Linked DNA regions of Diceros bicornis minor. Each later gene encodes a partner of the first gene's protein in a complex. Links are inferred from orthologs where the notes say so. Each region holds a gene or a part of one and is shown in the gene's direction. Other genes may lie near its edges.

The links.
Region 2: the proteins of IL1A (region 1) and S100A13 are in contact, whole or in part, in an NMR structure (PDB 2L5X), measured with the Homo sapiens proteins. The link is inferred for Diceros bicornis minor from reciprocal best matches to the Homo sapiens genes IL1A and S100A13. Residues at the interface, in NP_000566.3 of Homo sapiens: Asn148, Gln150, Tyr151, Thr194, Ala195, Gln196, Asp197, Leu203, Leu204, Lys205, Glu206, Met207, Gly216, Ser217, Glu218, Thr219, Asn220, His239; in NP_001019381.1 of Homo sapiens: Met1, Arg25, Gln26, Glu27, Gly28, Arg29, Lys30, Asp31, Ser34, Asp68, Ser69, Glu70, Lys72, Phe73.

What each region holds. Positions count from the first base shown.
Region 1 is NC_080779.1:19,507,371-19,523,731, reverse strand, and holds IL1A (interleukin-1 alpha), read left to right. Parts: upstream 1-8,258; coding exon 8,259-8,305; intron 8,306-9,301; coding exon 9,302-9,350; intron 9,351-10,240; coding exon 10,241-10,460; intron 10,461-12,069; coding exon 12,070-12,243; intron 12,244-13,289; coding exon 13,290-13,411; intron 13,412-15,693; coding exon 15,694-15,885; 3' UTR 15,886-15,917; downstream 15,918-16,361. UniProt on the Homo sapiens protein: Cytokine constitutively present intracellularly in nearly all resting non-hematopoietic cells that plays an important role in inflammation and bridges the innate and adaptive immune systems.
Region 2 is NC_080743.1:57,853,002-57,868,943, reverse strand, and holds the start of S100A13 (protein S100-A13), read left to right. Parts: upstream 1-9,594; 5' UTR 9,595-9,711; intron 9,712-9,940; exon of another isoform or gene 9,941-9,989; intron 9,990-10,080; exon of another isoform or gene 10,081-10,475; intron 10,476-10,630; 5' UTR 10,631-10,671; coding exon 10,672-10,824; intron 10,825-15,942. Other genes in the region: CHTOP (chromatin target of PRMT1 protein), read right to left, coding at 47-130, 737-890, 2,229-2,293; S100A1 (protein S100-A1), read right to left, coding at 5,225-5,368, 6,448-6,588. UniProt on the Homo sapiens protein: Plays a role in the export of proteins that lack a signal peptide and are secreted by an alternative pathway. Binds two calcium ions per subunit. Binds one copper ion. Binding of one copper ion does not interfere with calcium binding.

The sequences.
Region 1 (16,361 bases):
GAGTAAAGAAAGGTCTAAATTTCATGGATAGAGAAGGGGAATAAACCCCAAAAGGGGCACAGCCTGAGCAAAGAAATAGCAATGGAAGAATGTTGGACATTTGGGGAAATGAGAAAGGAAACTAACACTAAACTGAACACTCTCACAAACACAATCTAATTTAATCCTTCCAAAACCCTATGAAGTAAGAATTATTAGCCTAGTTTTACAGATGAGGCAACCAAAGCTCTAAAAGTTAAGTAACTTGCCCAAGACCACACAATAGGAGACACAGACATGCAATGCTATGCCTTATGGCTTTACTCGCCCTATTTCCTCAACCTGGAATATCTGTTCTCCACTATTCAAATCTAACTCTTCAAGATATAGCTAAAACGCCGCCTCCATGAAATCTTCCCTAATTCTCTGTATTCACTTCAGTCACTCCCTTCCTATCTGTCTGCTTCTGTCTCTGTTGCAACACTTCTTTCTTCTGCTTGTACTATAGTCATCTGCACAGGTCTTCCCTAAAACTTCTAAGCTTGTTAAGGGCAAATGGAGTTCTTTGCCACCTCTTTCCCCACGGCTTCTGACACAATGCCTTACACGCGATGGAACTGTGAAGGAGGTTGTCAAGCTGGCCTCAGGAAGATTTTGTGGAACTGTGCTCTATAAGAACACCTGCTCCCCCCTGCCCCTGGGTCCTCCTCCTGAGTCCAGGCTCTCTCAGTCTGCTCCTTCTCTCCAAAGGGAGCCACAGTGCCTTTGAGCAACCCAGCAGAGGATATAATGACCTACTGAGAATAGCAGTTAAGACCCCATGGATGTAAGAGTGCAGAAAAGGCGAAGTTAAGATCATAATTTTCCTAGGATGTTTCTCTTTTTTTTATCAAAATACTCTAAAACATGTCCAGCCTTTCAGACTCAGAAACCTAAACTTCCTTTTCTTGAGGGTAATAAAGTGCCCAGATGGTCCTTCATGTATATCAAGCTTTCTAGAAAACAAGACTGAGTCATCATCACTGAACAGATGGGGTAAAAATGCTATTTCCTTCTAATTTACTAGCAACTGTTACATATTTCTGTACTAGAAAAGGAACTTATTTCTATTTATACTCTAAGTGACAAATTAAATTTGCCATTGAAGTAATGAAAAAGCATGTATCTATTTGTGACTCAACTGTATGTGTGACAAAGAAAGATTCTACAAAAGGATAGTAAGGAATAAGTCCAGTGTGGGCCCTATGTAACCAAATATATTTCAAGAGCACAGAGGTGCCATGAAGCAGAACGTGGTCATGTTCAGGGTAGTCATGAAATATAGAACAGACAGCCAGGGCCGGAAGAACTCCAGTAGTCATCCAGTCCAACCTCCTCCCTTTATAGATAAGGAAAGCCCAGAGATGTGCAGGAATTGCCAAAGGTCACACAACTGGTTAAAGTCAGAGCCAGATTCAACTCTCTTGCCTCTCCAACCACACTGTATGCCACACCTGCCACTCCCCGCCCTGTGCCACAATTGCTCTAATCAGGGGCCCATCCTCCCCAGTAGCCAGCAGTTCATTTCAAAATGAGGGAGGAGAAAAGGGGCATAGGACCTTTGCTATCGACTATTTGCATGCATAATAAGTCAGCCTGACATCACAGTGAATGCTTGTATTGATGTTTATAAATAACGCTGTGAAAAACTATAAAGCACCATATAAATGTTAGATTTTTAGTCTAATTATTACATGATTTGTATCCGTGATGTTAACGCAACAGTACCAACTTTATTATTGCCATTGTCACAGCTAATATATCTTTATATTTGGAATTGGAATTTGGCCAAAATGAAGGCATCTTATTAGGTTTTTAATTTGCCTTATTGGAAAATTCATCTCCCAGAGAGTGGAGAATGTGACAAGAGTAATACTAATCTAGAAACAATTCTTTCAAAAGAGGAATCAGTTATGTGAAAGAGGAATTTTGAGATAAAGTGCATGTCATCTTGAAGTTTGTGATAGAAAAGGGAAGAATAGTCATACACAGTAGTAATCAGAATAGGTTAGGTTATACCACAGTAATAAACTTTGAGATCTCAAGGACTTAACACAATTAAAGATCTGTTTCTTACTCATGCAAAGTTTAAAACAGATTGTTCTCGCCTTGTACCTTTGCAGCCACACCTCATCCATTTGTACCCACACCATCTGGACTACGTGACTTCCAAACTTATTGCATCAGAGGAAGTTGGAGATGACAGAGGCACACACCAGCCCTTGATTGCATCAGCCTAGAAATGTAACACATTACGTATCGCTTCCTGTTCACAGTGCATTGGCCAGAACAAACCATGTGTTTCTAATCTAACTGCAAGGGAGACCAGGAAATGAAGACAGATATTTATCAAGTAATCCCACAAATAAGCCAGTGGATATCTAGTGAGCCCGGTCTACCACATATATGTTCCCTAGATTCCAGGAAAGCAAATATCAAAATGCTTAGAGTATCCCATTTGTGTAAAAACAAATCTATATATACCTTGAAAAAAGAAAGACCAAAAGCAAATACACCAAAATAGTAATAGTGAATACCTCTAGTTATTTAATTGTTTGTGGGTTTTATTTTTTCTTTATATTTTTTATATTTCCCTAGCAATATTTAATAAACATATTTTAGAATCTAAAAAAGTAATGCAAAGTTATTTTTTAAATTGAGAAACAAGTTCAGACCACAGATAACTATGACTCCAAGGAGGAAAATGACTCAAAAGGAAAAGGACTTTCTTTAAAATGCACTTCTGATTAGAGAATCACAATTAGCCAGCAAGAAGAAAAGTGAGAGACGGGCACAGACATGACTGTTGCCACACAGGAAGCTCTCTGATGAACTCTGATTTTTAAAGTCTGAGAAAGACAGAAAGAAGGGCACAGAGCCAAGGAAAAAGTCAAAGAGGCAGCACAGTCCTATTAACCACCATCTCAAGAGGAGAGGGAATTTAGAAAGAAAAAAGCACATAAATAGGGGAAAAAAGAGCTAAGGTGAAGACAGGGGATCCCAGCTAAACAGGGATTTGCTGGCTCAACATGAAGCAGCCCCTTCCTGCTGCAGGCTTCCTCCATCCACTCCAAGCCGTCCCTCTGCTCTCCAAGTTCCCAGAGCACTTGCCCAAAGTTTACGCAAAACTGAATGGATAAAGACCTTAGTGGGGTCTACACAAGGCTCTGTCCATCTGGCTCTTGCCTCTCTCCTCATCCTCATCTCCGCACCCCCTCAGTTCCAGCCTCTCTGGGCTCCAGCCTCAATGCCTTACTTTCATTTATCTGACCCCCATGGCCTTTGCTCAGCCTAGAATGTTCCCTCTTCCCTCCCCATTGAACTTCCCACTCCCAGTCTTAAGACTAGCTTCTCTGTTAGACGCCTTCACTACACTTACGTTGTTAGTACTTATCTACTCATTGAGGGGATTATTGATGAACATCTTCACTGTCCGCTTCCAGGACAGCAGCAACCATAGCTGTTTTTGCTCACTGAATGGGGTTGCATCCTTTTTACCTCCTTTTTCACTTATGGATAAGAAGCCATGGGAGTGATTATTTCTTCCTCTTACCCCTAGTTACTGAAGAGCCAGTACCACTAGATAGTAGGATATTTGAACTAGGAATCAAGGAAGAGTGAGTTCTCATTTTCATTCCCACTCTCATATGAACTCTCCATGTGACCTTGGGACCTTAGCACTTCCCGTCTCTGAGTCTGCTTCCTCTTTTATGAGGGAAGAGTTTAATCTAGATAGTGTCTGAAGTGCATCCTTCTCCCACGTGTCGTTCTAGGTCCTTCAATAGACTAATAAGACAAAGCAGAAAAACTAGAAATTAAAAAGAGTAAAGGAAAGGAAGAGTTAAGAAAAAGAGATGGGGCCAGCCCCGTGGCGCGTAGCGGTTAAGTGTGCGCACTCTGCTGCTGGCGGCCCGGGTTTGGATCCCGGGTGTGCACCGACGCACTGCTTGTCAGACCACGCTGTGGTGGCATCCCATATCAAGTTAAGGAAGATGGGCACAGATGTTAGCCCAGGGCCAATCTTCCTCAGCAAAAAGAGGAGGATTGGCATGGATGTTAGCTCAGGGCTGATCTTCCCCCCCCCAAAAAAAAAAAAAAAAGAAAAAGAGATGACCTCGTGAGCTTAGGCTCTGGTGTCTGAATCCCATTCTGGCAATTTGGTGACGTTGCGATCTTGGACAGATTGCTTAATCTCCCTGGGCCTTGACTTCCTCTTCTGTAAAATGTGATAAGAATACCTGCTTCACAGGTTTGATGAGAGGATTAAATGAGATAATAATTAAATGAGAGATTAATAATTAAGTGAGATAACACCTGGAACATGGAAGACTACTTACATGTTAGGTCTTTTCCTCCTTCCCGCTAACTTTCATGGAATTTAAAAGCAGATTATATAATTAAATAGCACCTGGGTTGAGACAAAAGGCTCAATTGTCTCTGCATGTGATGGTTTATGCACACTTTATTCCTCTGAAGATGCTTTCTACCACCTAAAAAGAAATAACTGCATCCCCTGAAAATTCTCAGTGAAGACTTGTGTTTCTCTCTTCACTCAAGCAATCCTGTCAGATCCAACTATATGCAATGATTTTAAAGTTGGTTCCAAAGATGTTCACAGATGTTTCTTTTCTTCATGGTACAGTGGCAAGAGCATGACTAAAGTCCACATCCAGACTCCACTACTGACCATGTACTCAGTTATGTTGATCACCTTCACCCTTGTCCTGTGTGTCACAGAATAAAATGAAATGTCATTGGAGGAGAAGAGGGGGTGGGTGTTTCAAAGCATTTCTTTTTCCATCTTTTTTTTTAAACAAAGAATCCTAGAATCACCGAATGACAGCGTGTTTGAGGCAGGAAAGACCTTTAAGGATGATCTATTTCAGTCCTGTCACTTGGTGTTGGTGGTGATAAGAGACTTGAGTATCTACATGCAGTGGAAAGAGAAGATTGGACTTGGAATCAGAAACCTGAGTTCAAGCGCTGGCTTTGCTAGTTTTGTGACCATCACTTGGTCACTTAACCTCTTCAAGGGTCCTCGGCTACGAAAGGGGATAGCAATCACTACCTCTTGTAGGTAAAGTGAGGAGCCAGTGCGACAGGGCAGGTGAGAGCTCTTAGTGAACTATAAAACAGTTTTCAAATGAAAAACATCACTCTGACTCTTTGGACCCACAACCTTCAAGCTTATAAAGCATATCTACTCACCTACTAAAATATATCATCTCATCTTGCATAACTAATTTTGTCAATCATGACAGAAAAATAATGATGCCTAGCAAAACCTCTGGTACAGAATAAGCGCACAGTCAATTTTTTTCTGAATGATTTAGGTGAAAATGACTATAGAAGAGTTCTTGAGGCTTCCTCAGAGTCAAGAGGTAGGTGCAAGAAGCCACCCAAAGTCCTTGAAACAGGACAGCCCCCAAACACCCTCGGGGATCCAGTAGAACTCTACCTAGCATGTTCCTCTCTCTGTTCCCTAGAGAAAGGTGGTCTGGTGATGAGGCTTACATACAAGGCAACCTTGGTTCACACTCACAGAAAAGTAGGCTCCCCAAAACAAAGCACAGATCTCTCACTCTCTAAACCTCACCCACGCTGTTCTTCCTTTAAAAACCAGTTTCCAAGAAAGTCATGTGAAGAAAAATCTTAGGTGAGACCCCAAACTGAGTTCGCTGTCTAGAAAAAATTCAAACTCTCCTTGAGAAATTCAACCAACCACATTTGGGGAATTCTCTACAACAGAGGAGTGACATAGGCCAGGATGGGTGTTGCCACTAATGGTGGAACCAAGGGTGTTTTCCTGGATTACCAAAGAGGCGCGACATATTCCTCCCAGAAACTAAATATCTTCAGGGTTTCAATGGAGGCCTTCACCTGAAAATATCCTCCCTGTGGAAGTTTTCAAACCAATATTTTCATAAGAACTATATTTTCTTTGGTGAACTAAGGCATTACAATGATGACTATATAGGTTCCCAAGTGACAGAAGCCATCATTAGTGTTGTTATTATTTTTGTTTAGTTGCATCTCCATAGTAGCTCACATTCACAATGTGCTTTGCAATTGTTTGTTGGTAATAATTCTCACACGATCTCTGGGAGGCAGAGGGGGTGACCAGGATTAACATTTCTGTGTTGCCTGAAGGGGAACCACAGATGCAGAGAATTGCCTACCATCACTGTTCATACAAGAATCCACCCTGAGACACCCAAGCTCTGCCCTAATCTGGTCCTCCATTTACACTGCCTATATCCAGGATGGCAGTTATTTCTGTGGTTCTTTTTTATAACTATTGTAACACAAAGTCTAGGGCCAGGAGGAATTGGACCGGGCAATAGAATCAGAACCAGAGATTTTGCACCTAGGATAGACGTTAATGGTCATCTAACCAACCCCACTATTTACAGTTAAACAAGACCAGAAAGAATACTTTACCCAACTCACACTTGACTCCCAGTTCTGAGATTTTTTGCTTTTTTATACCATGTTGTGTTGTGGTGCCTGGTCTTTCTCTCTTTACCGTTTTTTCCCTCCTCTACCCTCTTTTTCCATTCATTTTCTTTATTTAAAATTTATGCAGCTAAAACTCCAACCAGGAAGCCTGAAACAGTTATCTGCTAAGAGTCTGGTGTTCTACCACCTGAACTGGGCTAGCCTCAGGTACCGAAAAAGTGTTTGATGATAACAGCCAGGCAACACTGATGCAGTGTCATTTATGAGAGTCCCTTCCTTTCCCCCAATCTCCATTCTTGAATCCAGCCACTGGCTTCCGGCTGGTGCCTTGCCTATACCTCCCTGAGTCTGCAGCTTTCCTCACACACCTCAGGTTTACCCTAGAGAAGACCAGGGCCACCTTGCTATAACGTGGCCAGGGCTGAGAGATCTCTCCTGAAGCTCTGTCACTCTGTAGGGAATGGGTTGACAGTATTCAGAGGAGAAGGGGATTAAGACTTTTGCGGTTGAATATTACCTTTCTCTCCTCTACCCTGCCCTAACCAGGAGGTTGTCACGCTATACTCAGAGAGATTTATGCCTGTTCAAGCAAACCCCCCTCTTCACAAAAGATGGCTCATCTTCCCTCAGGGGCCACCAAGTATTGTCTGCCAGGGGCTGCCAAGTATTCTATCAATTCATACTCAGCTCTGGGGTGCACTAAACAAATTAAGCCAAAACACAAACTATAGCTCCTAAGCCCCTCTCCAAGTCTAGCCATCCATAATTCTGATTTTAGGACTTCTCCCTTCCTCTCTCACCACATATTTTTAGAAACTTAATAAGTTTCCTGCTCTTCTTCCCTTTTTCTAAGACCACATGTTTATAATTGTTTAGAGCAGAGCAATAAATAAAGGAGCCAAGACAGAAAATACTGGAATCTCTGCAAATAACACTATTATCAAGTATATAATCTGTGATTATTTTGGCCAGTATAAGGTTGAATGAACATAAAAAAATACAAAACAGAATTTTTCCCTGTAAATCCCCCATGACGCACTCGTGGCCACGCCTACTCTAAACATAAAAGGCGTGGAAGCCTGACTCGGGTTAAGTCTCCAGGCACAGACGGAGTCATTTTATTGGCGCTTGAGTCGGCAAAGGTATCATCCTTATCACGTCTTCGGCTTTTAAAATATTTTTTGTTTTTCTCCTTGGCTGTTATCTCTCAAACTGCCTTCTCTGAAGCTAAAGCCTCTTTCTTCCTTTCCTGTCCCTCCTTGGTTTGGTGTGTGAGTTAGAATCACAGTCAGATTTCACAAAGTGATTCTTTCTACTGATGGGGAACTGCGAGGACAGTGAAATTGGTTTCATATGAGGGCATTGGTGGGTGCAGCCGAGCCTGCCCTTGGAGGGAATCTCTACTACCAAAAACTATTAGGAGAAAACTGGAAATTTCCAACTCTGTCTCTCTCTTGCATCTGTGTAAGGCAAATACCGCATTTTTGTGGAGTTTTTTAAAACTTTCATTGAATGCCTACTATGTGTAGAGCATTGAGTTGGGCACATAAGGGATACCAAGATTCTAAAAGAAGTTTTCAAGCTAGTAGAGGAGACAGATATCTATATATGCGAATAATTGAAGGGAGTGAAAAGAAGAATGGGGAAAATGCTGAGCGTGGGCTAAGTCATTCATCAAGTTTCTCCAGAAGCACAAAGCGGAGGTGGTTCCCCTTGCAGGCATCTGGTTTAGAGGCTGGCTGGGCTGACAGCCACTGGTGTTCTCTGTTGCAGAAGTCAAGATGGCCAAAGTCCCTGACCTCTTTGAAGACCTGAACAACTGTTACAGGTAGGAAATAGATTCTATCTCTTGTAATTTAATGAGGGGATCAAGGCACATTAGAATCCAGCTAGGAGTTACAGTGACCGGCATGGGGCCAGACTGGCAGAGGCTATACAGATGTGTCCTACCTCTGAAGTCAGGGCAGGTTCAGCCAAGACCCAGGGGAACTAAGCATCCAGCATGTTAAACTGAGATGACATTGACACAGAGACAGCCGTTTTAGAAAAATTATTTTTAAGGTCTGCTGAGTCCTAGTGAATTTCAACATCTACTTAGACGCAGCCTCAGTTGGGTTCATTCTCTGTAGTGATACATGCTGTGATGGAGAGTAATGGGCTTTAGTGGACTATCGGAGAGAGAAACCATTCTCAGGAAAACTCCTTGATCTCAATCTGGAATAGGAAATGGCTCCACAACAATTTGAGCATGTAAATGCACATTCACAGTCAAACCTCCTTCAGACATAGGAGAAAGGTAAATGAAGAAAAAGTTAAAATTATAGAACACTTTAAACAAACATGGCATTCCCATTACCTATTAGTATACACTAACACAAACTAGGCTATTGAAATGTTACCTGGATAGTTTGCCAAGTATAAATTATTAAATCTGTTTTAGTGAATACATGAAAGAAATGTGTAACATATGATCTATTTGGTTAAAATTAAAATGAGGTGCTTCAAAAGTACTTCTTCTCTCTTGAGGAGCTTAACATTTTTCCCTGAAATTCAATTACAACTCTTCAATTTGTTAGTCAAGCCACGTTTTTATAGATAAAGCACAGGTAAAATTCAAGACCTATCCTGATAATTACTAATTCCAAATTAATGAGGTACAACTTACTGTATATATGTGTATGTATAGAAGTCCTTAATTTTCAAAGATGACAATAATGGCCGTGTGTGTGTGTTACCCAAAGCTAACGTGGTCTTTAAAATACGTTGCCAAGTGACTGTAGTGATATAACAAACAGAATTACATTCTCATCATCTTGTTTGACAGTGAAAATGAAGAATATAGTTCTGAAATTGACCATCTCTCTCTGAATCAGGTAAGCAAATGACTATAATTCTTATGGGACTGCCATTCTTACACAGTATTTTTTCCACCTGAAGAGAACAGCAATGGCTTGAATCCTAGATGCTTTTGTTTTACCGTCACTAGAGATCCAGAGATGTGCATTTCTTCATTATAAGTGAGACCAATTGCCTCTCTGCACTAACAGTTGATGACATTCTTCATGCTCACCCGATTTTCCCAGAACAGAGCAGAACTATCCTGAAACCCCAAGAACTGGAGTCTCCTGGATCAGACTTCATCAGAATGTTAGTTATGCCATCCTGACTCAGCCCCTTCAGGCCACTTCACTAGGGATCTGTCTCCTAAAGTGATATGTTGTGGTCATCCACTCTGACACCAGCACCACAGGTTAGAGATAGCCCTCCAAATGTAATAGCCCATGAAGCTGAGGTGGAGGAAGCCCGCCAATTGAAAGTGAGAAGTCTGCAGCCACTCACCAAGCTGTGTTATTTTGCTAGGAGACCACAAAATAGGCAGTATAAGTACTGCGTTGTGTGTTTTTAGTACTGGCTCTAAAAGCTGTTCCCATAGGAGTATTTCTAAATTATTTGAGCACTGTCAAGTAGATGTTTAACCTCCTGAGGGGGAACTAACTGGAAGGCGGTAGCCTTCCACTCACTAAGATCACTTGTAAACACCACATCTCATTTTTGAGTCTGCCAATGGATGACCAAGAGATCACATCCTTTCAGGAAAATCCTGAAAGGAAGGGGAGGTAGAGGGAAGACTGATGAAACCTGGGTTACCCAAGACCAAAAAGGAGATCCTTCTCATTAAGTCTGTTGGAAAAAACTCCTACTGAAAGGAATCTCATTCTATGGCCACGGACAGCCTCTCAGTTTCCATTTTCCTTCTTCACAGAAATCCTTCTATGATGCAAGCTATGACCCACTTCATGAGGACTGCATGGATAAATTGTCTCTGAGTACCTCTGAAACCTCTAAGACATCCAAGCTGATCTTCAAGGAGAGTGTGGTGCTGGTGGCAGCCAACGGGAAGACTCTGAAGAAGAGACGGTTGAGTCTAAATCATTTCCTCACTGATGGTGACCTGGAAGCCATTGCCAATGATCCAGAAGAAGGTAAGGGGTCAAATGCAATAATATCCTTGTTTTCCATTTTTAAACAAATGGGGACAATAGAGTATATGAGAAAATAAAACCTAGAATGAGAGCAACAAGATGGCAACCAGGTATTACTCTGGTAACTATAAGGAAGGAAAATGGATTTCTATCCTTTCCAGCAGGACGAGAGCAGCAGTGGCCTGAGTCTAGAATACTTGTTCACATGCTCATTTCGTGGCTATATTGTAAAGGTCTTGTAACTTTTAGCCTTTTGGCAGAAAGTAGTTATATACTATGAGTGGATGACCACTTACATGCTATGTTCCTCCACACACTAACTGTGCCTCTTTGAGCAACTTACTTAACCTTGCTGTGCTTCAGTTTCCTCTACTATAAAACGGAGATAATCAGAGCCCCTACTTGTCATGAAGATTAAATGAGTTAATAGCCGCAAGCTTCTGGGCTAGAATAATGCCTGGCACATAGTAAATATCCAATAAATGTTAGTTATTATTGTTGTTATTATTACTATTACTACTACTATCTTTGTTAATACTGCCAACACTACTCATTTATCAATGGCTGCATTATCTCTCACCTTCACAACAACCCTACATTCTCATTTTATATATGAGGAAGCTAAGTTCAGTGAGATAGTAACCTGCCCAAAGTCACATAGTGTGTAAGTGGTAGAGACTCAAACCAAATTCAGTTCCTGCTGACTACAGAAATCATGACTTTTCTCCCACGCCTTCATTTTACAAGCCTCTACATGAAACATAAATCCAATATTGTTAAGATAACAGCTAAAGACTAATACGTGTTCACCTGGAAAATTGGCAAAATACAAGAAAACATAAAAGGGAAAATAAAAATCACTCACACTACCACTCAAGAGTTTACCACTGCCAGCACTATTATACTTTCCTTAAAGTCTTTTCTATATATACACACTCATGAACAAATTTTTTTAACATTATGTGGGTCATACTATATACAGTTTTATATATAGCTTTTTTCACTTAGCAATATATAAAGGGCATTTTAGAGTGCCAATTTTTCATGATTATAAATAATATGACAATGAACACTCATATCAATAAATCTTCATTTGTATCACCATTTATTTCCTTAGAATAGATTCCTAGATGTAGAATTACTCAGAGCCACAAGGATTTGGGAAGATATTGATACATACCACTGTTCAGAAAGGTGGTAGACATTTAGACCTGCACCCTCAGTGACATACATAATTCTTAATGGATTCATTTTTTTTCTCAGAGTGCATTCATTCAAAAATATAGATGAGGAATACTAGGAGTCTTCCTGGTTACTTAGAAACCTCCAAACAACCAAAAATGAGAATGCTGCACAAATAATCTCTTAAAAAAATAAAACTATTGCCTGAGGAGTCAAAGTTTATTAAAAAAACAAATAAATAACCACAGGGATAATCCTAGAACCAATTCTACTGCTGATTGGATGATTTCACTTCTCTCAGTTTCCTCACCTAGATTGGAATATTCTTAATGTCCCTTCCATAGCTACTTTCTATGTTGCATTAGAGCAGATATATCACCTGTGTTTGTACCTAGAAACTAACCTGAGCTTGTGATAACGGTTTTAGAGATCATCAAGCCCCAATCGGTAGCTTACAACTTCCAGAGCAATGTGAAATACCGCTTTATGAGGATCATCAACCACCAATTCATCCTGAATGACACCCTCAATCAAAGTATAATTCGAGATATATCGGGTCAATACCTCATGGCTGCTGCATTAAATAATCTGGACGATGCAGGTAAAGGGACATCTCTGTCACCCTCCCTTCCTTTTATTTCTGTATTTCTTTTAAACTTTCTGCTTTCAAAGAATAAACCTCTCTAGATTCTTGGCTTTGCACTATTCTTCTAGAATAGGATGAAGCACATCACCTCTGGTAAAAATATCAGGCAAGGACAGGGGCTTCAGCCAAATCTAGGAGCTCCACAAGAGAGAAGTGTCCTATCTTTGAGAGCACTAGGTGCAGCATAAAGTAAATGGTATTTGTCTTTCTGCATCTGCCTTATTTCACGTAGTCTAATGCCCTCAAAGTCCATCTGTGTTGTCGCAAACCGCAGGACTTCCTTCTTTCTTGTGGCTGAATAATATTCCATTGCATATATATACCATGTTTTCTTTATTCATCCATTGATGGACACTTAGATTGTTTCCATATCTTGGCTATTGTAAATAAGGCTTTTTTAATGACACTAGAATATTCAATCATGTTACTATGCTTTTGGGTTTGCTCTAAGTAACCTTGTTGCAAATGTGTTTATATATATTATTTTTTTCCTTAGGAGGTTATTTCTTTGGAGCATATCCCAAAAGTGGAACTCCTGGGTTACTAGGCATAAATAACTTTACAGCTTTTATTAAGCATTGTTCTCTAAGGAAAACTGAACTACTTTTCAGTATCATTAGCAACATATGAGTGTATCAGCTTCCCTAAACCCCTCCATTTTACTAATGACCTCACAAATTGCAGGGTCTTATCTCACTAATGTAATTACAAGAAATTCAACAAATATTCAGCCCCCAATCATTCATTCAACACAGAAAATTCTAAAGACATTAACCAAGTAATTACCTGCCTAGTAAATATGGCAGACATTGTGAAGGACACAAAGATGTATAAAATTTCATTCCTAATCTCCAGGTACTTACACCACAGTTGGGGACCTAACTATACAAACACATACACACACACACACACACACACACACACACACAGTAGCTACATAAACACTTGATTTTATACAAATACCATGGATTTACTTTCTTTTTGGCTTTTCTCTTCGCCAGTGAAATTTGACATGGGTGCTTATACATCAGAAGAGGATTCTCAATTTCCCGTGACTCTAAGAATCTCAAAAACTCAACTGTTTGTGAGTGCCCAAAATGAAGACGAACCCGTACTGCTAAAGGTCAGTTGTCTTCAGTCTCCAGCTCAGCTTCATTTACATCCCACATGTTTGTAAATGATCCCAATAGGCAGACATCCCTAGCAGGGTGGCACAGTTCTCTTCTCTTCCTACCACAGTCCCCACCTGCCCACCTGCCCCCCATCCTACTTCTCACCTATCCCCAGAGGCAGTTCTAGCCAGGATCTGTGAGAGAGTAAAATGGAGGTAGCAAGAGTGAATAAAAGGTAAATTGCCTTCCTCTTTCCTTTTCCTTTCCCTGCCTGATCCTATTCACCTCCCATCCCAGGGCATCCACTTATTCCATCTATCTCCGATCTTTACTGACATCTATAATCTGACCTGATAGTAGGCATTAGGACCATGGGGCCTGCCTCCAAGAAACTTGGTCAGCTGAGGTCAGAGAGAATTCATCATCTGCCAAACAGCACCAGGCAAAAAGCTGGCAGCCAAGACTCAAACCCCGGCCTTCTGACTCCAGTGCCTCTCTCTCTCTTCATTGGTACAAGTATTATCGCTCATCTCAGCCCCATCTTCACCACCACCTTCCCCCTCAAACATACAGATACACATACACACGACCACTGCAACCTTAGATGTTTTCACCACTGATAAATAGGTGACTCTTATTCAGTAAATGTATAATCCAAACCTCCCCACTTGCAACTAGGATTTATGTGGATGCATGTGCTTCTCTACCTGGATCAAGTAGAGGAAAGTGATGTAATGTCTACAGAGTAGGGCAGTACCTTCATTCATGAATTCATTCAACAAGCGTTATTTATTGAGAGCCTTCTATTTTTTAAGCATAGTGCCAACAGCTATGTAGACAGTGGTTAGCCAAAATCTCTAGCCTTATAGAACTTAGTCTTCTGGGGGATACAGACAATAGATAAGCCAAACAACCAGCAAAAAGTGCAAGATGCTGTAAAGCAAATGAACAGGGTGCTGAGATAGAGAAAAATGGGAGAGTGCTCTTTAGATATAGTGGCAAGAGCAGAGCTCCCTGTGAGATGAGAGCTGCTGATAGGAGGGAGCATGCCATGCAAGGGGGTGAGTGGTGTGGGCATCCTAAATAGAGGGATCTAAGTACACTCAGCCCTAGAGCTTCAAGAGCTCCAGCTTCAAAGATCAGAAGGAACACTCTAGGAGCTGGGGCACTCTTGAGAAGGAGGAAAGATAAGCAGAAGCAAGTGTTTGCAGATAGCCTTGCATTTGGATTTCATTTGAGATACAATGAAAAGCCATTAAAGGGCTTCAAACAAGGAAGTGTCCTGACTTTACTTATATTTTCTAAAATGGAGAATAGATCAGAAGGAAGGTAATAGAAAAAGCAGAGAGCCCAATTAGAAGGTTATAACAATTAGAAGGTGGGGAGTGGTGAGACAGGTGGAAAGAAGTAGACAGGATCTGGTTATATCTGGTTATATTTTGGAGAGAGAACCAACAAGAGGAAGAGGAGAAACTCTACTGAGATAGGAAAAACTAGAAGAGGAATAGGTTTGGGAAATAAAATTCTTGTTGACATTGAAAACCCTAAGGAAACCTCAAAAGGTATTTAGTTGTTTTAAACTAAAAATAGTAAAGAAGAAGCATCTCAAGTTGGAATTTGAATTTTATTTTCCCATGAAAGTATTGTTAGATTCTATACATACTCACAAGAAGAGTACAGTCTAAAGAGATCACAATTGTCAAAAATCGCATTGAAAGGATTCAGCTGCTGATTTGCCTAGGAAGGTGTGTGTGTGTGTGGGCACGCGCGTGTCTGTATGTGTACGTGTGTGTGTTTTAGGTTTTTTTAAGCCCTCAATTGTTGACTTAAATACAGAGATAAACATCTATAAATTCTAAATTATTTTCTCAAAGTATGAGTTGCCCACTTAAAGGTCAAAATGTTTAGAGGTCTTAGAATTACTAGTGCTCAAATTTGATGCAAAATGCCTTATGCCTATGTTGAAGGCAGGACAAAAACAATGTTTCACCCTACCTGGCAGGATTCAGTGAGACACTAGTGTCATTGGCAATCTTTAGGAATAATTTGGATTTTTCTCCAGTTAACTAAGGAAATCAACTATTATGAATAGACTGGGCCATACATCTAATCGGCATGTAATAAATACCTGCTGAATGAACATATGAATGAAGAACCTATATCATCATATTACAGAGTCACGGTCCTAAAGTGCTTATGTTTCTCATAAAGGCCAAATGCCAAGAGGTTGAGCTTCAGTTCTTTTTCTAGCATCTTCTCGTTCTCTAACAGATCTCTATTCCTCCTATCATAGGAGATGCCTGAGACACCCAAAACCATCAAAGATGAGACCGACCTCCTCTTCTTCTGGGAACGTTACGGCACTAAGAGCTACTTCAGATCGGTTGCCCATCCAGAGTTGTTTATCGCCACAAAGCAAGGAAAACTGGTGCACATGGCAAGGGGGCAACCCTCTATCACTGACTTTCAGATATTGGACAACTAGCCTTGACTCTGGAGTCTACTTACTTGTGAAGTGTTGACAGTCCGTATGTACCATGTACATGAAGGAATCAAATCCTTTACTCTTAGTCACTTGCTAAGCATGTGCTGTGCCTTTGTAATTCTAAATGAATGTTGACTCTCTTTGTAAGAGAGGGAGCAAAGTCCAGTGGAGCCAACACTAACATATAATGTTGTCTGTTGTTTAAAGAACACCCTATACTTTGCAAAGTACCAATCATTTTAATTATTATTCTTCATAACAACCTTGAGAGAACCAAGGCTACTGACTATGGCTACCAAAAAGACTTTACCCATATTACAGATGGATTAACTAAGGCATAAGAAAACTAAGAAATACCCACAATAGCAGTTGGAATGAGAAGCCATAGACCTGGGATTTCATTCCAACTGATTGCCTTCTGCTTTTAAGTTGCTGATGGGCCCTTAATCAAATGCTGTACGTTTCTGGGACCTCAG
Region 2 (15,942 bases), on another chromosome or scaffold:
CTGAATTTATGCACAGCCATGCAGTGCTACCAGTTAAAGTCCTTACAGTTGCATGGCACCGCCCTCCAGACGTCCAGCCACAGCTTGGACATATCCTTCCACAGCCACTGTCCGGACTTGCATATAAAGTCTATGAATAATAAAGAGTAGGTTTTATTTCAGGTCTGAATAGGATTATCTCTTACCGGAAATATGAAAGAGAACCCACTAACTTAAACTAATTACTCAGTGCCCTCGCTCTACTTTACTGACAAAACTTTAGGTGCAGTAGGATTCAAGTCATCTTATTCTTTCTATATTTTAGCACTGAAAACCTTTCACTAAGGCCATTCAGACTCCCTGAACTAAGGGAGAAAGGATAAAATTATTTCCCTAATTTGTAAACCATTTAACAGAGAATAGAAGATTTTTTGAAGATCATGTAAAACAGAAAGCAAAATTACTTTGTGTGAAAAGCCAGTGAATCTACTTTAAGGGCAAAGGACCAGAAAACAAGAGAGAGTGATATTCGCTGATAACACAGAAACAGGCAAACTCCCTAAAAGAGAAAGACAACAAAAAGTTATTTTTTGGTACCTGCCAAAATGGGAATTCTCTGAACTTCTCTTTCCTCCAGAGAAGTTTCAGCTTTTGCCCTGAGCCACCTCGTAATCATCCATCACGTCCTGACAGCCTCAGTGGACTGCCTGACAGAGATCACCGGCTGCTTCTGGAGCGTTAAGATCCATTCTCTCACCTGCTTAAGTTTTAATGCTGCCTGGACAGAGGGTCTATTCTCCATCTGCTGGGCCAGTCTTCTGTTTCTGGCACTGGCTAGCTGCTGTTGTTGCTGCATCGAAGCCCGAATATTCACTGGCATCGGCTGTTTGTTCTTCAGCATATTAGTAAAGCTTCAAGGTCGAACAAAATGGATGTTTAAATAAAAGCTTTATTACAAAACATTTATTGGCATTTTCATGGCCTGCTAGACCAGGAGCTCCAGATCCCACGAACTTTTAAGTAAAGTGGTACACTTAGATCAAGGCTGATGTGGGTTAAAGACTCCTCTGCTTCCACAAACTTGCAAGAATCAGAAACTTAGAAATGCAGCTAAGTGCAGCACATTCAATCAAAAGTGATAACAAGGGCTCAGGTAACGGCTTTTAGAGAGATGGAAGGCATGAAAAACACGCAATAAGCAGATAAGATGACAACAAGAGACAGAAGATGTAGTTTCAAAGACAAAGAAAGAAAGCCAAAACCTTGGGGGACCTGAGGGAGTATTTTAAGGGCAAATATAAGGAAGGACTAGAGCACCTTCAAAGCCCACGGAAATAACACACTCATATATATTATGGGAGTGTATCACATTTTCTTATATATTTGTTCACTTAGTAACATGTGAACAGAGAATTAGTATATCATACCCTAAGAGTTAAGAAGCACATATGCCTCAGAAAAGGCAAAAATAAACACTGGGGAAATCTTTCAGGGGTCTAACATCAACTTAATAAAATCACTGGTCAAAGGTACTGAATGAACAAAGCTCCTGGAGATAGAAACTGCTGTTAAATACCTTAACTTTTCTTAGCCTCAAATGATTACTTTTTCTGACTCCAAATGATTACTTCTGAAAAAGTGTGATTCGTTCAATCATTTAAGAGCTTGTGAAGACATTCTTCTATTATTCCTGTCAAGGTAAGTTTAATGGAATGGAAGAGAAGAACACTTAATTGTGAAAGAATCCAAAACAAAAACAAACTTAAAGCAGAATGGAAAGAAAGTGAAATGGAGCAAAGCAAGTGCCTCTTACAAGGCCCAAGAATGACATTCCAGGGCCTTTGGACATATTCATAGCTTGCTACCTGCCTCTTACAGGCCAGACACAACACTGCTGGCCTTGGACTGGGCAGCAAGCCTACTGCAGCCAGGGTACCATGCTACCGAGCTGCACCACCCCTGTATCAACGTAAAAAAATGTGAAGAAAAGGGAGGGTGTGAGAAGTCTTTTTAAAATACATCCCACCAGATAAATATCTCAGACAGCTTAACATAAAAATCTACTGATGAGGGGTTTTGAAACAACCGCCCAATCTGTTTTGTGTACCACATAAGATGCAACTAAGAACAGAGGTCTGTAGCCTTCTGTTGGTATTTAGTTTAAAACCGGTTTTTGTGCAGTGGACCCCAAGGCCAATTTAAGTAATGTTTTCTTATGAACGAGCTGAAGTTGCCGTTGGCTGCCTCACCGCTCATTTAGAGACATCTTGGTGGTGCTTTTTAGCACAACTTTCGGCGCTGACTGTGCAGCCATCTTCAAATCCCGAGAATCTACAAAAGGACAATGGGCACAAAGAGCAAATCAGAATAACAACCACCTCATTTCTGCTAGGGCCAAAGGCCCACACTCACAATGAATGAAAAGGCTTGTATCAATGACTACTGAAGATCACACTCGAACTCATTTTGGGTGCTTAAATTTATAAGACAGTTACCGCAAACTAACAAACTTCAAGGCCACAGGACAGAAAATATGTGCCAAAGCCTCCAAAATGGCAGCCTTAGACCTAGCTAAAGGAAGTATAAGAGTTTGGCTTTTAATCTAGAGCAGTGCTTCTCAACCCTGCCTGCAAGGAGCTTTAAAAAAAAGATACAGGGCCACCCGTGGCTTAGCGGTTAAGTGCGTGCGCTCCACTACCAGCAGCCCGGGGTTCGGATCCCCACGCACCGCTTTTCCGGCCACGCTGAGGCCATGTCCCACACATACAGCAACTAGAAGGATGTGCAACTATGACATACAACTATGCACTGAGGCTTTGGGGAAAATAAAAGGAGAAGGATTGGCAATAGATGTTAGCTCAGAGCCGGTCTTCCTCAGCAAAAAGAGGAGGATTAGCACAGATGTTAGCTCAGCTCAGGGCTGATCTTCCACACACACACACACACACACACAAAATACAGAAGCCTGGCCTCAAACCAATTAAACCACAGTCTCTGGTGGTGAGGTCTGCGGATCAGCAACTGGAAAGAAAAAAAAAAAGCGGAATTCCTAGGCGCTTCTCACGTGCAGCCAAATTGAGAACCACTCGTCTAGAAAGATGATACAGGCATAACTAGTTTCAACCTGGCTTTCGACTCCCAAGTAGGGCCTTAGCAAGGGACTAGGGACCCGGGGGAGGGAGTAGGAAAGGTTTCCTAAAGGGGCATTCACCTGGGAGTTAGCTCCCAGAGCGCGCTCTATAAAATGTAACCCTACCGCCCCCATTACTTCCCAACCTTCCCTGAATCCTGTTGTCCTCATTTCATCTCCCTGCCATCTCAAAGCCCTGTCAACACGGCCAAGTTTGCTCCATCTTCCTTCCCAGCCCTATCAAACGCCAACCTTTTCCCTCAGCCCCGCCACCAGTCTCCAGCGCGGGCGCTCCCCCGCCTCCGCGCAGGGGCTCCGCCCCCTCCCCGGGCCCCCGCACTCCGACACCCTATCTGCTTCCACATGCCGTCGCCTTCCGTGCCGCGTCCGCCGGCCCCTTCCGCTCCCCAAGACTTCTCCCCTCCTTCTCACCACAAACACGTACCGAAGGAAACAGACGCCAGTGCTCCTCCCGGGGCTGCCACCACGGCTGCGGCGGGCGGGCCGGGGGCCGGCCGAACCTGAGCAGACGGTGGAGGGGCTCGGCTTCACTTGTGGGCGGTTGGTCAGGTGTGTAAGCGGTAGACTGCTAAGTTAGTTCGTTGTTGCTGGCTGGCTGTCTGGTCGGCCGGTCCGTCTGCTCGCCCGGCCTGCCCTTGCCTGCCTTTCGTCGGTGCCACCACAGCCGCTGCCGCCAACTCCCGCTCGTTGTCCAAAACAAAATGGCCGCCACGCCCAGTGCGGAGTGGGACCGGCTAAAATGGCGCCGACGCAATTACGTCAGGCGTCCGGTCCGCACACGACTAGGGAGCGGGAAGATTTGTGCTACGCCTGCGCAGAGATGGGGGCGGAGCCCTAGTGAGAAGGCGGGGCTTTAGCAAAGGCCCTGTCTGAGGTACACCCCGTGCCCCGCCCACAAAGGGGCGTGGCCAATGGCCTGCCCTTGGGTCTTGCGAAGGGTTCGCTTTCGAGGCAGGGTTGTTCGAGATCTGGGCGGCTCAGAGCGGATTTGGTCCTGATGAAAAAGGTTTACGTGTTTCTTCACTCTCTTTCCGGTTCCCCAAGCCAAGGCAGACCGTCTAAAATTCTTTACGCGGGGCTTTCCTCGGTCTCTTCCTTACCACCGGGCCGAGTAATGAGCGCTGGCTCTCCTCTCGTCATCATTCGCCCTGTTCAGAGTTGTGGAGTGTCATAAACGGCCCAGCCACAGCCTGGGGCCGGTGCTGGGAGCACACGTCTACTGGAGCCTGTGCCAGTCACCACACGCCCTCCGTATTTTCCTCTTCACTTCCCTCCCCAAGTTGGCCTGAATATTGTTAAATCCTTATTTGGGGGGGACCTTTGTGTGCCTGCATCCCCTTGCATGTCCTCCCTCCCCATCTGCCATCCATGCTGAATTTTGATGCAGACCTATACAGGATTTTTCTTATGCCTGGGTGCACAATAAAATGCTCAAATGTTTGAAGAATGAGTAAATCAGCACATCTTCGACCCTTCCTCCCCCCCATACAGGCACTTCAGGATCCTTTCATTTTCTTTCCTAGCATTTTCCTGTGTGTGTTTAATGGTCTAGCATCCTTCCACCTTACTTTACCTAGGTGAGGGTAATGGTCGCGTTTTGTTCACTGCTGTATCCCCAGTTCCTACACAATGTCTAGTACATGGTAGGTCCTCAGGAACTATTCTTTCAAGGTTAAAGGGAAATTCTTTCTTTTTCTGTCTTATAGCTGAGAAGCTGACATCTCCTGTACTTCCAGCTGGAACTTTGAACCCCTACCTTCCTGGGCCATGAGCATTCCTCAAGTAGGAAGGTGTAATGGTCCCTTGATCTCTCTCCAAATAAGACCCCCCCCCCCCAATAAGGCAAGCTGGGATTGAGCAGCCTTCACTTCCCCACTCACTTGCAGACCCCATAGGAGACAGACAGCAGCTGGTGAGAGAGGAGCCTTTAATGAAACATGAGTTGCAGGCCTGGCCCACTACTCTTGCGCCCTTGTTGGAGGAGGGGCAAGGGTGGGAGTGTGGGGAGGGGAAAGTGGGGTGAGGGGGAAGCAGGGCAAAGGGGCAGGTATGGCAGGGTGGAGGGGAAGGGCGCTGCCCACTGGGGCTGTCTGCTCAACTGTTCTCCCAGAAGAAGTTGTTACAGGCCACTGTGAGGGCAGCCACCAGCACCACATACTCCTGGAAGTCCACCTCCCCATCTCCATTCTCGTCTAGCTCCTTCATCACCTTGTCCACGGCATCCGTATCCTTCTGGGCCTGTGGAGGGAAGAGATGGAGAGGTAGGTGTATAGGGAGATGAATAGCACTGAGTCAGGGGCAAGGGAGGTGGCTGATTGGGGAGAAGGAGGCAGAGATGAACAAGAGGGACTAATTATGGGACTCTTCTGCTCCCCTCCTCAAAACTAACAAAACACATGTGGCCTCCTGTTGCCTACAGAATAAGCTCCTTAACAAGGCAGAGTAACAATAACAACGTCAAGTACCGTATGTTGAGTGCCTACAATGCCACAAGCACTACACTAGGAGCTTTACAAGCATTGTCTAATTTAATTCTAACACAAATAGTATGAAGTAGGTTTCATTATTCCCATTCTAGAGAAGAAACAAATTGACAGTTGGTGGTTAAATGATGTGCCCAAAGTCACACAGCTAGAAAGTGGCAGGGCCAGAATTTGAACCCACGTCTAATAAAACCTCAAAGCTGGTACACTTTCTATTGGCTTCTCCTTTACTATATATAGCATGCTGCATATTCTTCTTTCTCCTATGCTTTTGTTCATGCAGTTACTTCCTCCTAAAATACCTACATTTACCTTAATAACCTTGCGATGGAAATCCATAGCTCAAGTGCCACCTCTTTGGAGAAGCTGTCCTACTTTAGTCAGGTTAATATTCTCCCATAAGCCTTTCTGGCACTTCTGTTCAGGCTTTGCGTACTTCCTGAGTGGCTGGCCCAAGGCTTCAGAGGGAGGAAGGTCTCACTGCCTCTGAGCTTCCTGTCAGCAGACTGGGGGCCTCTTTTGGTCCTTCAACTCTGTTCTTTCCTGAATATGTCACTTCCTGGTGTTCATGGTTTACTTCCAAGTGTCAGTCTTTCCCTTCTAGACTGTGAGCCTTGTTATCGATGCATCTACATAGAGTCTAGCACTTTTAACAGGTGACCAATAAATCGGCATTTTGACTTAGGGGAGCCTGGAAAAACCCAGGAGAGAAGCCTGGGAGAGGAAGGAGATGGTTGGTCTGAGCTGGGGTGGGGTGGGGAGATGGCAGAGAGGTGCCCACTCTGTTCCCCCACCCCTTGCCCATTCCACCCCATACCCCCACTCTGTGCTCACGTCCAGGAAGCCAGAGAGCTCGGTCTGCAGCAGCTCTTTCAGCTCCTTCTTGCTCAGCTTGTACTTGTCCCCCTCCTTGCCCGAGTGGGCGTGGAACACATTGATGAGAGTCTCCATCGCCGTCTCCAGCTCAGAGCCCATTGCGCAGCTCACCTACCCACCCCCACCATGGAAGTGAGCTGAGGACCAAGCTCAGGGTATCTGTGGTCCAGTAGAGGGGAGCCCTTAGCCATGGCCCTGGTCCCATAGCTCGAATAGCCATGAGATCAGAGCTCCACTGAAATTTATCCTTCACTGAGATTTTACGATGTGGGAGAACCCAACAGACCTAAATCCAGACCTGTATTCTGTGTCCCTCAATCCATACCCCAGCAAGAGGGAGTCAGGGTTTGGGGCATGGAGGTAGAGCAGCTGGAGATGGGCTGGCTCTGGAGGCCTGCAGAGGAGTCTGCAGTGGCTCTTGGCTGCCTGGGCAGACACTGAGGAGGGTGGGGCAGGCAGGCGGGGGTGGTCACAGGACCTGGCCAGGCTTCCTCTGGCTCTGTTATTATGCTGGACCTTGCCTGCCTAGCACAGCCAAGCTCTGCTGTTGGCAGTGATGGCTGGGCTCCCCTTTATAGCCTTGTCTCTTTTGCCCATCCCTAGCAAGGAGTCAGTCTGGTGCCCTCGGTCAGCCTGATGGAGAGGGTGGCAGCCTGAGTGTCTGGCCCCAGGTTTCATGAGGACGGGGGTGGGGCGGGTCTCACTGCCTCTGAACTTCGTGTCAGCAGACTGGGGGCCTCTTTTGGTCCTTCAAGTCTGTTCTCTCCTGAACATGTTACGTTGGCTTCCCTGGGGTTCACCTCTACTACTTCTAGTTTTGTTCCTTTTACTTCTCTGCAGAATCAGCCCTTCCATCGGGTGGTGGTGGGAAGGGAGAGAGGAATGTCTGAGCCTTTTCCCTGGAGTCAGGGCTCCCAGGAAGGGGGAGAGGAATCCTGTGGGACTTGTCCCTGCTGCTGGCCACTCCCACCCCCAGCCTGACCTAATTGATGTGGGGACAGTGGCAGCAGGGAGAATGGGCTAAAATGTATTGAGGGAGATAAAGGGCTGAGTGCACGGGTCCTCTGAGTTCAAGGGGCTGCGAGAGAAGAGAAAAATGGAAGGGTCTGTTGAGGAGGAGGGACTGCCAAGCAGGGGCCTCTTTGCCTTGGCCTTGGGACAATCAGCCCCTCCATGGTCTCAGGGGGCAGCTCAGGTGTCTCAGATCAGGTGTCCCCATCCTTCCCCAGGCCTGATGGGCTGGACAATGGGCCCTGATCAGATGACATCCCAGCTCTTCAATGGGGCCCTTGTGAGTGTCACCTGAACTCCGGATATGAGAAGCAGTTGTCACAGAGACATGGGGGAGATGGAACCCAAGCTGGGCTGATGGCGGGGATAAGGGGGGTATGTGAAGGAGGGGTGCTGGTGGCTAAGTTATCGGCCCCATCCAGGATGGGCACCTCAAGGTTGCCTGGAGCCCTTGAGCAGCCTGGGATTTTGTGTAGGGGCCATTCTGAAAGGACTTGGGCAGGGAGGGGACAGATGGGAAAGCAAAGAGGAAAGAATTGAGGGGAAGAAGAATCTGGAGGTCTGGGCCAAGGAAGAGGAGGAGGAGAAAGGGGACTCACGTGAAGGGAGGGTTGGGGTTGGGTACAGTATCCTAGTGCCCCCTCTTCCTGATATCACACGGTCCATGCTCTGCCCTCCCCCCCCAGACTTCCCTGGAACCTGAGCTCTTGGCAAGGCTGGGTGGGGGTGGCAGAGAGACCGAGGCTGAAGCAGGGGTGGGCAGAAGCAGCTGTTCCATCTGCTTTCTTATTCTTACCCCACTGGAAGTGAGGCGAGGGCTGGGTCCCCTGCCAGCCTCAGGGAGATTGAGGGAACCTTGGGAGGACACTTGAGGGCTCTGTGGTAGAAGGGCCTGGTCTCCTGGAAGCTTGGTGGCTGGGTTCCCCAATGGCTTCCTTATTCACTGAGCTCCCAGATCTCCCTCTGACCTTCACTTGCCTGCCTTCATCACCCTCCAAACCCTGTCTCCCTCAAATCCCAAACCGCAGTCACCAGCATACTTTCCAGTCCCTCAGTGCACCACGATGCCATTGTCCCCAGACTCTTGGAGCCCCGCTGAAGTCCCCTTTCCCCCAAGCTGGCCAGGGCAGGATGGGGCAGAATACTCACTGTCAGCCTGGGCCTGAGGTGGGAGCAGGTTCTGGACAGACAGCTGAAGCTGCAAATGTGGCTCCCGGAGCTGTGTGGGGAGACCTGTCTTCAGCCTGCCTTCCCCCACTGACCCCCCCTCCCCACCGGCTCCACCCCTTCACAGACGGACACCCAGTGGGGCAAGGGGCCAGGAGAGGACAGAGGCGCCCTCTGTCTCCTGGGCTGGAACAGGCTGCCCTGTGTCCTCTTCTTTAGCCTCTGTTGCCTTCCCCCACTGCTGGGCCTCAACAGGCAGGGCCCAGGAGGAAGGGAGGTGGGAAAAGTCCTGGGAGGGACACTGAGAGGCCTGCCTGCCACCCCCTGCGGTACTGGCTGTGGCTGCTAGGCAGGGAACAGGAGGAGCCCGCTGAGGGGTCTTAGTGAGGGGTCCTCTCTGAATAATTTAGTCTTGGGAGTCTCCCTGAGGAGTTTCAGTCTGAGACCCCACTGAGGTATTTCAATCCAAGGTCTCCTCTACTGGGGTCTCAGCCTGGATCCCCCTCTGTTTGTGGAGTCAGAGCCTGGGATCCTCTGAGGGGGTCTTGGGCTGCAGGGTCCTTTGCGGGATCTCATTCTGAGGGGTCCTGTGTGGTGTTTCTTGGATTGCTCTCAGTGCTGCGCTCCCTCAGTTGGTTCTTTCCATCTGCAGTCGCCCCCCTCCCGGCAACAGACACACTCCCGATTAGACGCAGGTGTGGTGGGGCAGCAGGCTCCCTGTACGAGAAGGGATGGGACCCTAGGACACCAGCTGAGTGGGATCTGTCCAGGCAGCTCCGGGCAGCTCCAGGCAGGGCCGCCCCTCCACCAAGTGGGGGCGCGCGTGGGCCGGGTTGGGGGGCCAGGGTTCAAGGCCTGATTGCTGGGGTGGGGTGAGGGGGGTGGTGGTGGCGAGAAGCGTGATTGGGCGGTCTGCTCTCTTCAGAATCAACCACGGAAACGCGACACCTCCGGGCTTGGGAGCGGCTGTCTCCTCCCGCCCGAGGGGCTTATAAACCTCAGCCCTACGGCTCCTGCTCGCGTGCACCCCGGCTCCTTGCCCCGGTGAGTCGCATCCCCCTAACCCTGGAGGGGCCTGCGGAGCCTTTTTTCTCCCTGGTCTCCCGCGTCCCTCTCCCGGAGCCCGCTCAGACAGGGATTCAGGAAGTGGCTTTGGGAGATCAAGTCCAGAGGTGGGGGCGGGGGGGTGGGAAAGGGAGGGATGAGGGGGCGTGTCCCCTTCCTCCAGCCGTCCCCGCCCCCAGGGCTGTGAGGGGCGGTACCAAGCCCTTACTGGGCGCGGGCAGTCAGCCGAGTCCCATCCAGGACCCGTGTCGCCGGGAAATAGGGGTGGGAGGGTCTGTAGGGTCCTGGGCTCGGCTCTCTGCCCAGCTGCCCCTGAGGGAGATGGGGGCGGGCAGCAGAGGCCGGGGCTGTCAAGACTGAGCCAACCCTGACCGCAGCTGGGCAGTGGCCAGACCCTGGGCTTCTCTGCTGGGAAGAGCGGCCAGAACGTGTGTGGGCGGGTGGAGTGCCGGCGGGTGGAGACCCAGGTCCCTACACAAACAAGCTTTGGAGACAAACAACCTCATGACCCTTTGAGGCTGGGTGAGACTCCAAGAAAGGGCCCTTGGGACTGAACTACACAGAGGGGCCAGGAGACTGAGAAGACTCCAAAGGGGGACCCTGGCCTCCTGCCAGACAGAGGAGTCTCCACTGAGAGGCCACCACAGAAGGGTCCCTAAGACACAAACACTTCAAAAGGACCCCCAGACAGTGAGACCTAGACAGGAAGGGGTTTCTGGAAGTGAATACCTGGGTGCACTGAGGTACTGTTGCCTGGTTCCCTGCCCCAAGCTCCATCCTTGTCCCCTCCCTCCTTCCCCTAATGCCTCCTCCAGGCAGAGGCCTGAGGTGGCAATGCCAGGGCAGGGGCACTCTGGCCTATCCTGACTCTCTCTCTCTCTCCTTTCCCCTCCTTCAGGTCAGCCCTGTGAGGACATCAGCTCCAGCCCCGGGGTCCTAATGGCAGCTGAGCCACTGACTGAGCTGGAGGCGGCCATCGAGACAGTGGTCACCACCTTCTTCACCTTTGCAGGGCGGGAGGGCCGGAAGGGCAGTCTCAGCATCAATGAGTTTAAGGAACTGGTCACTCAGCAGTTGCCTCACCTGCTCAAGGTAAGTGGGGGTCTCTGGGCCTGAGATTTTGGGAGACAGTGGCTGTGGGACACTGTGTATGTGAGATGGTATTGCTGGGCACGATAATGTGAGCACAGGTGTGTTGTGGAGATGGATGTGTGTGACTATTCGTAAATGGTTCTGGGTGTTTTTGCCGGGGGTGTGTGTGTGTGTAACGAGGTAACACTGTGTTTGTGTGAGTGAGTGTGTTGTTGAGCTTTGTGCTTCCATCAGACAATGCTGTTGGGTTCTTGTGTCTGCTCTGTGCCTCTCTGGTCTCATTTCCGCAACACAGGACTGGACCCAGAGCTGGCTTTCAGGAGATTCATAGAACATCAGAAGGAGGTCAAGAGAAAACATGGTCCAAACTCCTCACTTCTTATATATGGAAACTAAGGCCCAGCTATGGGAAGGGGTTTGTCAAAAATAAAATGCAGCCAAATTCATAGAGTCATAGAATCTCAGGGTATGAGGGAGATGTAAGTAATCTGTGATTACTTCCCACCCCCTCTGGGAATCCCCTCAATAATGCGCCTGACAAGGTCATTCCTTTTCTCCTACTCACAGGATGGAGTAGGGATTTTTTTTTGTGAGGAAGATCAACCCAGAGCTAACCTCTGCCAATCCTCCTCTTTTTGTTGAAGAAGACTGGCCCTGGGCTAACATCTGTGCCGGTCTTCCTCTACTTTATATGGGACACCGCCACAGCATGGCTTAACAAGCAGTGCGTCGGTGTGCGCCCAGGATCTGAATCCCGGGCCGCCGCAGGAGAGCGCACAGCGCACTTAACCGCTATGCCATCAGGACGGCCCTGGAGTAGGGATTTAAATTGCATTCACTCTGGGTTGGCACATCATCCGAGGCTGTTAACAGTTTCTTTTACATCCTTTCTGAAAATTCACAGGCAAATAAAAATGTGTGAACATGGATTTAAAGAAAAACAGAGGGGCCCGCCCCGTGGCCTGTCGGTTAAGTGTGCGTGGTCCGTTGCTGGCAGCTCCGGTTCGGATCCCGGGCGCGCACCGATGCACTGCTTGTCAGGCCATGCTGTGGCGGCGTCCCATATAAAGTGGAGGAAGATGGGCACGGATGTTAGCCCAGGCCCATCTTCCTCACCAAAAAGAGGAGGATTGGCATGGATGTTAGCTCAGGGCTGATCTTCCTCAAAAAAAAAAAAAAGAAAAACACAAATGAATCTCTGAAGCTCATAGTTGATCATCTGAAAAGTCCACTGCATCCTTAGACTTCTCGGACTTTTCCCTTCCTCTTCTCGCTGAAGGTACAGAATTCCCTGTAGCCTTGTCAAATAGTGACTTGTTTTTCTTCCAAATCCAGCTCTCTCTGGGCTTGGAAATTCAGGAAGTAGCCTCTTTGCTTTTCATTGCTGCTCCCAGATCTTAGTTTCTTCTTCCTAAGATGCCCAGCTTCTTGGAAGCTAGTATGCCGCCTGCCACCTTTCTTGTTGCATTCCTTATAGCTCTTCAGCTCCTGGCTTACTGTTTTTTGTTTTTTTTTTTTTTTGCTGAGGAAGAGTCACCCTGAACTAACATCCACTGCCAATCTTCCTCTTTTTGTATGTGAGCTGCTGCCACAGCGTGGCCACTGACAGATGAGTGGTGTAGGTCCGTGCCTGGGGCTGCTGTAGCAGAGTGTGCTGAACTTAACCACTAGGCCATGGGGGCTGGCCCATGGCTTAATGTTTTTCTTCTCATCACTGCTACTGTTGTTTTCGTCAGTATCCACACAGACAACTCATTCAACACCCTGGCCTTTCAATTTCTTGAACTCCTCACTTCCAAAGATTCTATCCACTTGCATCTCAGCATCCTACTCCTCTCTTCATGCTTTAGATCTTGTCATTACCAAAATAACGCACCACCTCCAAAATTGCGATTTCAAGCTTCCCTGTCTGTGTCTACTACCTCCTGTCATTTCAGTTCTATTCCTCTATCTAGTTCCTCCACTTCAGCATTTCCTTGACTCCACTGGGACCGTCAGTCTCTTGACCACTTTTTCATCCTCCATCATCATCCCTCATGTCCTTATTTCCCTTCTTACGCAGCTGGGTTCTTTTTTTTTTTTTGGGAGGAAGATCAGCCCTGAGCTAACATCCATGCTAATCCTCCTCTTTTTGCTGAGGAAGACTGGCTCTGCGCTAACATCTATTGCCAATCCTCCTCCTTTTTTTCCCCAAAGTCCCAGTAGATAGTTGATTGTCATAGTTGCACATCCTTCTAGTTGCTGTATGTGGGATGTGGCTGCAGCGTGGCCGGAGAAGTGGTGTGTCGGTGCACGCCCAGGATCCGAACCCGGGCTGCCAGTAGCGGAGCACGTGCGCTTAACCGCTAAGCCACGGGGCTAGCCCCTCAGCTGGGTTCTAAGGGTCATCATGTAGTCACACCCTCAGCTTCCTTGATTCTGTTTCTCTCTGTCCTATTTGTTTTTTTTTTTCAATGTTTTATTTATTTATTTTTTTTCCCCCAAAGCCCCAGTAGATAGCTGTATGTCATAGATGCAAATCCTTCTAGTTGCTGTACGTGGGACGCGGCCTCAGCATGGCCTGAGAAGCGGTGCGTCGGTGCGCGCCCGGGATCCGAACCCGGGCCGCCAGCAGCGGAGCGCGCGCACTTAACCGCTAAGCCACGGGGCTGGCCCTCTCTGTCCTATTTGTTAGGTGAAATCCCAACCCAGGTTAAATCCAACATTTCACCTCCATGAACTTGCTGGTTAAATTCACCCTTCTGCTTCTGCACTCCTATAGCTGAATCTGGCTGGAGAAAAATGCTGACTTGCCATGTTGACTTGTCTCACTTTAAATATATAACCACAAACCCCAAGGGGACGCTTGGCAATGCCTCGCAATTCTGCTGCATTTTCCTAGCTGATTCGGTTGCTAGCTCTTTCAGATGATTATTTCACACCTTTTCCTTTCTCCTCAGACTCCAGTCCCTCTTTCCACTTCTCTGTCTCACTGAGAAATTTTCTCACTGAGAAAATAAGAACAATCAGGAAACTTCTATGTGCTCCCTCCACCTAAACCTACCAACCAGTCAGCACATACCCTGCCTTCCTTCCCGTCACATGAATGATGTGTCTCTGCTCCTAAGGCCAGCCCCTCCTCTCATACCCTGGATCCCATTCCTTCTCACCTACTTAAAGACTTTACTCTTTCAGGGCTGGCCTCGTGGTGTAGCAGTTCAGTGCTCGCGCTCTGCTGCTGGCGGCCCTGGCCCTGGCCCGGATCCCGGGTGCGCACCGATGCACCGCTTGTCAGGCCATGCTGTGGCGGCGTCCCATATAATGGTGGAGGAAGATGGGCACAGATGTTAGCCCAGGGCCAGTCTTCCTCAGCAAAAAGAGAAGGATTGGGATGGATGTTAGCTTGGGGCTGATCTTCCTTACAGGTAAAAAAAAAAAAAAAAAAAGACTACTCTTTCAAATCTTTCCTCTCTCTCTTGCATCGTCAAATTTTCCCTCCCTACTAGATTGTTCTGATCAGTTTACAAATATGCTGTAATGTCTTCTATCTTAAAAAAAAAAAGAAAACCTCCCTTTACCCTACAACTCCTTCCAGCTATGCCTTCCATCTCTGCTCCCCTTTATAGCAAAACTCCTCAAAAGCAATGAGAGTTATTTATACTTACTGTCTCCACTTTTCCTGCCCAGGTCCAGAATGCTCATCCCCCAGGTATTTGCTAGGCCTATGCCTCAAGTAACTCACATTTCTGCTCAAATGGCAAATCCACAGCATGGCCTTCCCTCACCACTGAATACAAAGGTCACCTCCCTTGTGTTCTAGTCCTTTACCCTGCTTTATTTTCTTTCAGAACACTTCCATCACAACTTGACCTCCATTATGTACTTGTGTATTACTAAGAATGTAAGTCCCATGGGAAAAGGAACCTGCTCACTGTTTTATCTCCAGCACCTAGAGCAGTGTCTGACTCCTAGTAGATGTTCGGTAAAATATTGAATGAGTGAGTAGATGGTAAAAAAGTAAAAAATAAAAATTGTTGAGTGAGTGAGTAAATAATTGCATCTTACCTACTGTGCTACAAATAGTTTTTTAACAATGTAACAGTGCATATAGGATATTTTCCCATTTTTAAAAAATGATGCACTGTATTCCATTATGTATGTTAACCCAAATTATGTAACCAATCCTCTGTTGATAGACATTTCTCTTGTGTCCATTTTTTTCCCTTTTGCAAACATCCTTCTTTATATATCTTTAAATACTTAAGGGAAAATATCAACATAGGGGAAATGTCTAGCAGTAGAAATATTAGGTCAAAAGGCTTGTTTGTTCTTCTTTTTTTTTTTTTTTTGTGAGGAAGATTAGCCCTGAGCTAACATCCAATGCCAATCCTCCTCTTTTTTTGCTGAGAAAGATTGGCCCCGGGCTAACATCCATGCCCATCTTCCTCTACTCTATATGGGACGCCACCACAGCATGGCTTGACAAACAGTGCGTTGGTCCACACCCTGGATCCGAACCCGAGACCTGTGGGCCGCTGAAGCGGAGCACGGGAACTCAACCGCTGTGCTTCCGGGCTTGCCCCAGCATGTTTGTTCTTAATTTTTATAGTTATTACTGATTTGCCTCCCAGCAAAATTGTACCAGTTTTCATGGCCACCAACAGTGCATACGAATGCCTGTTTCCCATGTCCTTGCCCAAACTGGTTCTTACCAAGTTTTTAATTTTTGCCAATCTAATATGTGAAAATAGTATCTTATTTGATTTACATTTCTTTACTTCTGAGTGAAATAGAATATTAAAAAAAAATATATATTTTTTTGGTGAGGAAGATTAGCCCTGAGCTAACGTCTGTTGCCAATCCCTCTTTTTTTGCTGAGGAAGATTGGCCCCGGGCTAACATCTGTGCCCATCTTCCTCTACTTTATACGTGGGATGCCTGCCACAGCATGGCTTGATAAGCAGTGCATAGGTCCGCGCCTGGGATCCAAACTTGCGAACCCAGGGCCACCAAAGTGGAGCTCATGAACTTAACCACAATGCCACTGGGCTGGCCCCTAAAAAATATTTTTGGTGGACACGTATACTGCTTTTTCTGTGAACTGCTTCTTTATTTCTTTTATCAAAGAGTTTTTCTTTT